Cricetulus griseus: one gene and its partner. The protein of the gene in region 2 purifies or fractionates together with the protein of the main gene of each other region. This does not show direct contact. Links are inferred from orthologs where the notes say so. Each region holds a gene or a part of one and is shown on either strand. Other genes may lie near its edges. The genes, in order: Cks2 and Pkmyt1.

What was found.
Region 1: the proteins of Pkmyt1 (region 2) and Cks2 purify together in Homo sapiens (affinity purification with mass spectrometry; 3 studies listed by BioGRID and IntAct, counting the BioPlex papers as one, with this or other methods). This does not show direct contact. The link is inferred for Cricetulus griseus from reciprocal best matches to the Homo sapiens genes PKMYT1 and CKS2.

What each region holds. Positions count from the first base shown.
Region 1 is NC_048596.1:270,595,582-270,599,102, forward strand, and holds the end of Cks2 (cyclin-dependent kinases regulatory subunit 2), read left to right. Parts: intron 1-328; exon of another isoform or gene 329-465; intron 466-1,320; coding exon 1,321-1,448; intron 1,449-2,687; coding exon 2,688-2,740; 3' UTR 2,741-3,013; downstream 3,014-3,521. UniProt on the Homo sapiens protein: Binds to the catalytic subunit of the cyclin dependent kinases and is essential for their biological function.
Region 2 is NC_048600.1:43,243,897-43,248,300, reverse strand, and holds the start of Pkmyt1 (membrane-associated tyrosine- and threonine-specific cdc2-inhibitory kinase), read right to left. Parts: upstream 3,023-4,404; 5' UTR 2,796-3,022; intron 2,713-2,795; exon of another isoform or gene 2,153-2,712; intron 1-2,152. UniProt on the Homo sapiens protein: Acts as a negative regulator of entry into mitosis (G2 to M transition) by phosphorylation of the CDK1 kinase specifically when CDK1 is complexed to cyclins. Mediates phosphorylation of CDK1 predominantly on 'Thr-14'. Also involved in Golgi fragmentation.

The DNA of each region.
Region 1 (3,521 bases), on a different chromosome or scaffold from region 2:
AAAGTTGTTTTAAGGATTATTTACATTCAAAAAATAAGCCACAGCCTAAAAATCTATGTTGTGGACAGTTGGTGCTTAGAAAGGGTTGTGGATTGAATTGTCCCGTGTTCAAAAATACAGAACTGAATTTGCACTTGCATCTCTGTCTCGAAGACTTACATTGGTCAAAAATTGCTTATTACTTTGTGAACTTACTACCAGAAAGGGTACAATGAGGCTTACAATTAGGGTTTTAGAAAGAGATACTTTGTGATAATTAAACGCTCTATTCAGGTAAGAGTACGGATTTGTTTGTACATATATTTGTTAAAAATTGTATGTATTTGTTTTGGCCCTGAATCAAGGCCAGCAGTTTGCTGGAGCTGTTGGTTTCAAGCAGGAGCCTAAAGAAATGTCTTCCTATGGTCTGTTGGCCATTTCAGAAATTTGGAAATCTAATGGTCAATTCATTAGAAAGAAACAAACTGACTGGATGTTGTATGCAGTTCTGTAATTGTAGTACTAGGGAGCCTGAGTTGAAAACAAGGAATTTGAGGCCAACCTGCTCAACAGGAAGGAGAATGCCCCTCCCCATGAAACAGCTGAGTCATTGGTGATAGATGTGGTGGCTGATAAGTCTTAATAATATTCCAAATATAATACTTCTGCATATACAAGAACTTGCATATACAAGAACTTGTATCTACTGCAGATCTAGTATTTGTGTAACAGAAAACACGTTAACTGTCCGTTCTTCCCACTCCTTTAGTAATCCCAGTTTGGGGTGACTACTTATCCTGGGACTAGGATCCTTTCTTACTCTTTCCTATGTAACTATTATAATTGCCTCTGGCTTTAGCTGCTGTTCTAGCTATCTAGATACCATCAGTCTGTATCCAACAGAAGATGTGGCTACGTTTTTAACTTTGGTGTAATCTTTCTCTTAGAGTATGATTCTCAGTATTTTCTGCCTATATTTTGTGGACCAAGGGTTGTTTCATGACCAAAAGTAGCTGTAGAAGAGGGTGACCGTATTCCTGGAAGATTACTCAAAGGGAAATATTCTGTTAGAAAGTTAACCCTAAAGAATAAAGTGCCTTTCATTTCTGTGCAGCTTACTCTATTGGTCTAATACTTGAACATAAGCCCTCAAAAGCCACAGTATAGTTTATAGGGAATACCCAAGATTGATGCAAATAGTACTGTAATCTAGAGTTGCTTTAAAGAAATCAGCTTGTTTTGAGGACAAACCCTTCAAAATTATAAGTGTCTCAAAGGTACGAATATAAAGTGATAATGGTGGAAAGACATAGCACTAATCTGTGGCTGAATCTTTGACAGGCATGTCATGCTACCCAGAGAACTTTCCAAACAAGTACCAAAAACTCATCTGATGTCTGAAGAGGAGTGGAGGAGACTTGGTGTCCAACAGAGTCTAGGTTGGGTTCATTACATGATTCATGAGCCAGGTAAGCTTTGCTATAAAGTACTAAGTAAATACAGTTGTTAAGAGTCAACTTTTTAAAAACACAAGTATTCGGTGTTAACTAAAAGTAACTGAGAAGCTCAACTAGTTTTGTAAATGAATGATTCCTTACTCCTGAATAATGTTCTGTTTTCTATAGTAATATATAAGAATGACAGTAATACATTATCTACTTGTAAAAGTGACTTAACCAATTTATTCAGCATAAAACAATTGTTTAAATTCTGTGCCTATATAGAAATTGATGCAATTAGATGTGATTTTTTTCTTCCTTTAGCTCTTTTAGAGAATTATTTACCATATTAAGGTCAAATGAGATAGGCATATAAACACAAATTCTCCTGTATCATACATGTCTCTTATGCTAGTATATGGTATCGACCAACATTTTCTAGATATTAAGTAGTAAACTAGACTAAAGCTTTGTGGTGTTTAAGTTCTAGCTTAGAACTATAGATTACTAACTAATGGTGGGCACAAAATTTGAAGACATACTACAAAAACAGATAAAATTAAAGCTCTTTTTGTATTTGTAAAGATAAACAATATTGTTAAACTCTTGAGTCTGTGTTAAAACTTTGAAGGGACTATGACAGATACTTAAGAGTTCGAAGATCCTACTACAAAAAATGGAGGAACTTAACTATAGATTCCCAGCCTTCCTCACACTGAATTGGGAGGTACTGTACGGACTCCTGGTTTAGTTATCTTTATCTTTTTGTATTGAAGCTTCCTACAGAGTCCAAACTTGACTGGAACTCTCCATCCTTAGCTAAGTGTGGGGATTATAGGAATACAGCACAATTCCTTGCTTTCTGGTGGCTTGTTTTGTGTGCTGAGATTGGACCTTTGTACTTTCTAGGCAAACACACCACCATATATACTATATACAGCTATTCTATGCCATATGTGTGTGTCCAACTTTGTGGTGATTTTTTTCTGAAGTGCATTGGCATGATTTTTTTCTGAAGTGCAGTAGCTAGCTAGCTACTTTGAATGAGACTCCCTTTTGCCAAAGAGATAACATTTCTCTTTTCACTGGAAATGAGGTTTTACAGGTAGAAACCATTCTCTCCAGAGTAAGCTAAAGACTTAAAATAGTGGAGAAATGCTATTATGAGATAGTTTGCCTATGTTTAGTGTTTATTATTAATTTTAAAACACTTTAAACAGTGACTGGTTGTTGGCATGAAACTTAATGATGAATATTTCCTTTCCACAGAGCCGCATATTCTTCTCTTTAGACGACCTCTTCCAAAAGAACAACAAAAATGAAGTGCAGCTGGGATCGCTTAATCTTTTTCAAATTTAATGTATATGTGTATATAAGGTAGTATTCAGTGAATACTTGAAAACTGTACAAATCTTTCATCCATACCTGTGCATGAGCTGTATTCTTCACAGCAACAGAGCTCAGTTAATGCAACTGCAAGTAGGTTATTTTAAGTTGTTCGAGATAAATTTCCTTGTAGTTTTTTCTTAATATAAGTAGTGCCTGTTTTACTTTACCTGTTACTTTTGTTAATAAAGTTTGTATGTTGCATTTATCACTATTGTAGAAATTAATTGACTTGACTCAATAATCTTACCCCTGAAAGAAATAAACATACTTGAAAAAGAAATACTAAGGTACAAATGATGGGATTATTGGGGATATTTAACCTAGAGTCAAAATAGACTTTCACTTTATTGATATTCTAACCCTACTTAATACTTACTACTTGTTTGTGTCCACAATGTCTCCAAAACACTAGTGGTTTCAGAGAAAACTGTTTTATTAAGAAGCACTGAAAGCTGGGTGGTGCCTTTAATCCCAACACTCAGAGGCAGAGAGGCGGGTCTCTGGAGTTTGAGGCCAGCCTGGTCTACAAAGTTCCAGGACAGGCCCAAAGCTACAGAGAAACCCTGTCTTGAAAAACCAAAAAAGGAAAAATAAGCACGGAAACACCATATGTATGCATTTGGACTGTCTTTGTCGGCCAGGAAATTAAGTGTAGACACATTAGTGGATTACCATGAGAAATGTATGCATGAATGGCCAGGAACATAAGACCCT
Region 2 (4,404 bases):
CCCATCTGGCTTCATTACAGAAAACAATGAGCATGCCGGTCGGTGGTGGCATACACATTTAATCCCAGCACTCTGGGAGGCAGAGGCAGGTGGATCGCTGTGAGTTCAGAGAACAGCCTAGAAAGAGCTGATTCTATAATTCATGTGGATGTTCAAACCCCCTACCCCACCAAAGTCAAACTCTCATATAGGACTAAATTTGGAAGACTTATACTTCCAGATTTTCAAAGTTTCTTCAAATCCACAGTTAATTGAAACAATTCATTCATAAAAAAATGAAGGGGATAGAATTAAGAATTCCAAAATTTATGGTTTAATCATTTTTCTTTGAAGTTGGGCAGAGTGTTACTCATCTTTAGCCCCAGCACTCAGGAGGCTGAGGCAAGAGGATCTCTGTGATTTTGAAGCCAGCCTGTTCTACATAGCAAGTTCCAGGATAGCCAGAGCTACATAGAGTGACCCTGTCTCAAAAGAAAAATTTCCCCCCTTGTCTTGTGTTTTTGTTTGTTTGTTTGTTTGTTTTCCAAGACAGGGACTCATCATGTAGTCCAAGCTAGCTTTGAACAACTTCCTGCCTCACTCTCCAGAGAGCTGGAATTATTTTCAAAGTTAGTGCCAAACAACCCAAAAGGAAAGAAGTCTTTTCAAGAAATAATAGAGACAACTGGGTAGCTTCATGAAAAATTTAGGAAAAAAAAATTGACTATCTATTCTCACTCAGTGTGTGTATTTATAATTTTATTTTGTTTTGAGAAAAAGTCTATGAAGCCCAGACTGACCTTGAATTTGTAGCAATCCTCCTGCCTCGGTCTTGCAAGTGCTGGGATTACTGACATGAACCACCACAGCTGATTTTCACTGACAGAAATATTAGTGTTTGATCTTGGATGCTGCAGACTCACTAGTGGTCTTACAAATATATGCTTTCTTATGATGCCTTTTTAAAAGCTATTATTTATTTATGGCAGTAGGGAGTAAACCAAAGGCCTAACACATGTTAGGCAAGCATTCTACCAGAACTACATCCTTGTCCCTACATCTGTGCTTTCTAAATCTGAGCCCATAGTAGCTTTCTAAATTTATTTATTTATTTAGTTAGTTAGTTTTTCCGAGACAAGGTCTAAAGGCTTCAAACTTGTTGTGCAGCCAAGGATAACTGTGTCCTTCTACCACCATCTCCAGTGTGCTAGGATCACAAGCATGTACCATTATACCCAGTTTATGCAGTGCTTGGAATGAAGCTCCGGGCATCATTCATGTTAGGTAACAGCTATATCAACACACTTACTAATATAACCCCCATGCCCTAAATCTGGGATATTTTGAATTATGAAGAACACCTGGCATGACGAGTTTGTGAACTTGCAATTCTGCACTGACCTACAAAAAGCTGAAGGATTTAAGACTGGTGTCTGGCATAAATGCAAACTGTGATCATAACCGGTGCTTTAGTTAGTAATTGAAACGACTCAAGCACAGTGGTACCACCGTGTCAATAATTGTGTGCCTGTTGGGAAAAGAGGAGCATCAGGTTGCTACAATGTTATCCTTGAAACAAAAAACAAGTTGAAAGCAATTTTAGGGGAAAACACAATGTATCAAAATTTCCCACACCTCGTTGAGGGTAGTGGCTAGATCAAATTACTTGGAGAATGATTAGCCTAGTGAGGTTAGGGACTTAAATTAAGAGGCTTGGCTGGAAGGCTCTCTTGCTATAACTCTATTTACTTCAAGAATCCCATCCCAGAGCTGGCCTGGGCTTAACGGCCTAGCTAGCATGGTCAGGGCCCTGTATTTGGTCCCCACCACAAATAAATAAATAAATAAATAAATAGTTCTTAGAGGAACCAGACTGTCAGGATCCATGATCATGCTGGTTAAACATGCAGCCTTGAAGGAAGGGAGGGATGGCTCAGAGGTTAAGAGCACTTGTTGCCCCTCCAGAGGACCCAGTTCTGATTCCCAACATTCATACAGTGACTCACAAGCATCTGTAACTCCAGCTCAGGGGATCTGACACCCTTTTCTGGCTTATGTGGGCACCAGGCACGACGAACATGGTGCACAGATACACATGCAGACAAAAATATACATAAAAAAAGAAATACTTAAAAAAAATAGTCCCCATGCCTAGCACAGGGGAAGCCATCACCTTCTGTCTTCAGCCGGGAAGACCGGCCCCTCTCAAAGTCATTTATGTTTTAACACCTCTGACTTGGCCAAACCGCCTTTATGGGATGAGAAGGGTTGGCAGTAGAGTCCTGGCTGAGTCCAGAGTGGCCCTGAGCCACTGACCAGTCAGGGTGACCTCCCCGTTTCCAGGGGCCTCACCCTCTCATTGGGCTGGACACATTTGTTGACCACCGTCTAGCGCTAGATTTTGAGATCCTCCCGAGCAGCGCTGCTGCTGCTGCTGCTGGATTCGCTCCGTGGGCGAGGGGAGACGATTGCGTAGACCCGCTGTCACCCACCCGGAAGAGGCTCTTCCCAGAGAGATGAGGTAAGAGAGAGGTAGTGCTGGGGAAAGGACTTCCAGTGGGGAGGGACGGGCAGTCACCTAGAGCGGCCCGCGGGAGTAGGCGGGGCGTGGGCGACAGCGCTGACCCGGAGTCACCCGAGGGCCAGTCGGCCCGTGACAAACAGGGAGGGGTGGGGCTGCTGCAGAAGGGCGACCGGCCACTGAGGGGAGGCCGGAGGGCCGTCTCGGGGCGCAGCGCGGCAGGAGCGCGGGGCAAGGCGCCGGGCGGAAGAGCGGCGCGGCCCGGAGCCCTCCTCTCACCCGGGTGTGGGCTCACCTGCGGAGGCTGGGCGGGGCGGGGCGCGGCGCAGCAGCGAGGTCCCAGGTTCCGGGTCGGCGGAGGCCGCTGAGGGCCTCACAGAGGCCAGACAGGCTGGGGTCCCGGCAGCGGCGCCTCTGAACACCGGGACGAAGCACTCTCTCAGAAGGGGAACGGCCCGTGAACGCGCGCGGAGCCAGCTCGCGCCAAAAATTCCAAACCGGCCTCGAGGCCCCGCCCAGGATCGCCCGTGGCCCCGCCCCCTGGCGCAGCTCGTCGGGCCCCGGCATTGGCTCCGCCTCGCGTCCTGCGTGCGCACCGAGGCCTCCCCACCCCCAAGCCTAGCCGAGCGCCCTCACTGCGCAGGCGCAACCCTTCTGGGCGTGTTGCTGCCCCGGGAGCTAAATTCTTAATCCTGGACGCCGGCTGGGATCGCTCCTTGACTCCCTCAAGATCCCCAGGACTTTTGTCAGCCTCCAGATTTTGGTTCCCACAATCGCTGCCCTCTGTGGGCTGCCTTAATTCTCGCGTCCATAAAAGGGGCAGGCAGGGCCCTGCATCCAAGTGGCGTTTCCTCAGGAAGTCAAGTGCCCTGCTACACATAATCTTATATACATTTGGACGCCGATCCTCGTCACAGCAGGATAGCCACGGCGAGCGCCTCTTCTAAGAAGCTGGAGCTTCCTTGTGCCCAAGCTTCTTCTGGAGAAGAAAGATGAACCAGGGGCCTATGCTGCTTGTATTTTAAATAAAATTCTCTTCAAATAGTGTTTGTGTAAAGGAAAGCTACTATTTCAGAAGACATATAAATAATTAGAAAATTAAAGACAGCAAATTATAATGGGTAAGGGAAAAGGTACAGCTTTTTGTTTGTTTTTGTTTGTTTTTTTGAGACAGGGTTTCTCTGTGGCTTTGAAGGCTGTCCTGGAACTAGCTCTTGTAGACCAGGCTGGTCTCGAACTCACAGAGATCATCCTGCCTCTGCCTCCCAAGTGTTGGGACTAAAGGCGTAGGCCACCAACACCCAGCTTTAGGGCTACTTTCTGCCAGCCCTTTTTTTTCTGGACAGGCCCCATCCCCTTCCAACTGTCTGTTCCTCAAAGTTTAATTCATAATGATTGAAACAAACAAAACAACAAAACAATGCAGTGGTACATGCCTATACCTCAAGCACAGAGGTGGCTGAGGCAAAAAGATCATGTGAACTCAGAAATTGGAAGCTAGTTGGGCACTATAACAAGACCCCTTTCTCAAAAGTCTATCAAACAAATGAGTTAGGCAGAGTGTTGCAGATGTGTAAATCCCTGCATTGGGGAATCTGGTGAGAATGAGGCAGGAGGATCTCTGAGTTTAAGGCCACCCTGGTCTATATCAGAAGTTCCAGGCAAGTCAGGGCTACATAGTGATACCCTGTCTCAAGGAGGGGCAGAGTTTTTGCAACTCGAACCCTGTCTCATAAAGGAAATGGGGATGGGAGTGAAATGGCTAGGCTGTCAGCTGAATGGCACATTTCTTGCCTAACATGGGTGAAGCCCTAGGTTCAATCCCCAGCATTACAAAGATAAATGAAAACATTTTCATTTCAGCAGCATACTTCAGTGAACATCTCATTCTGTAGAGAAAGGCT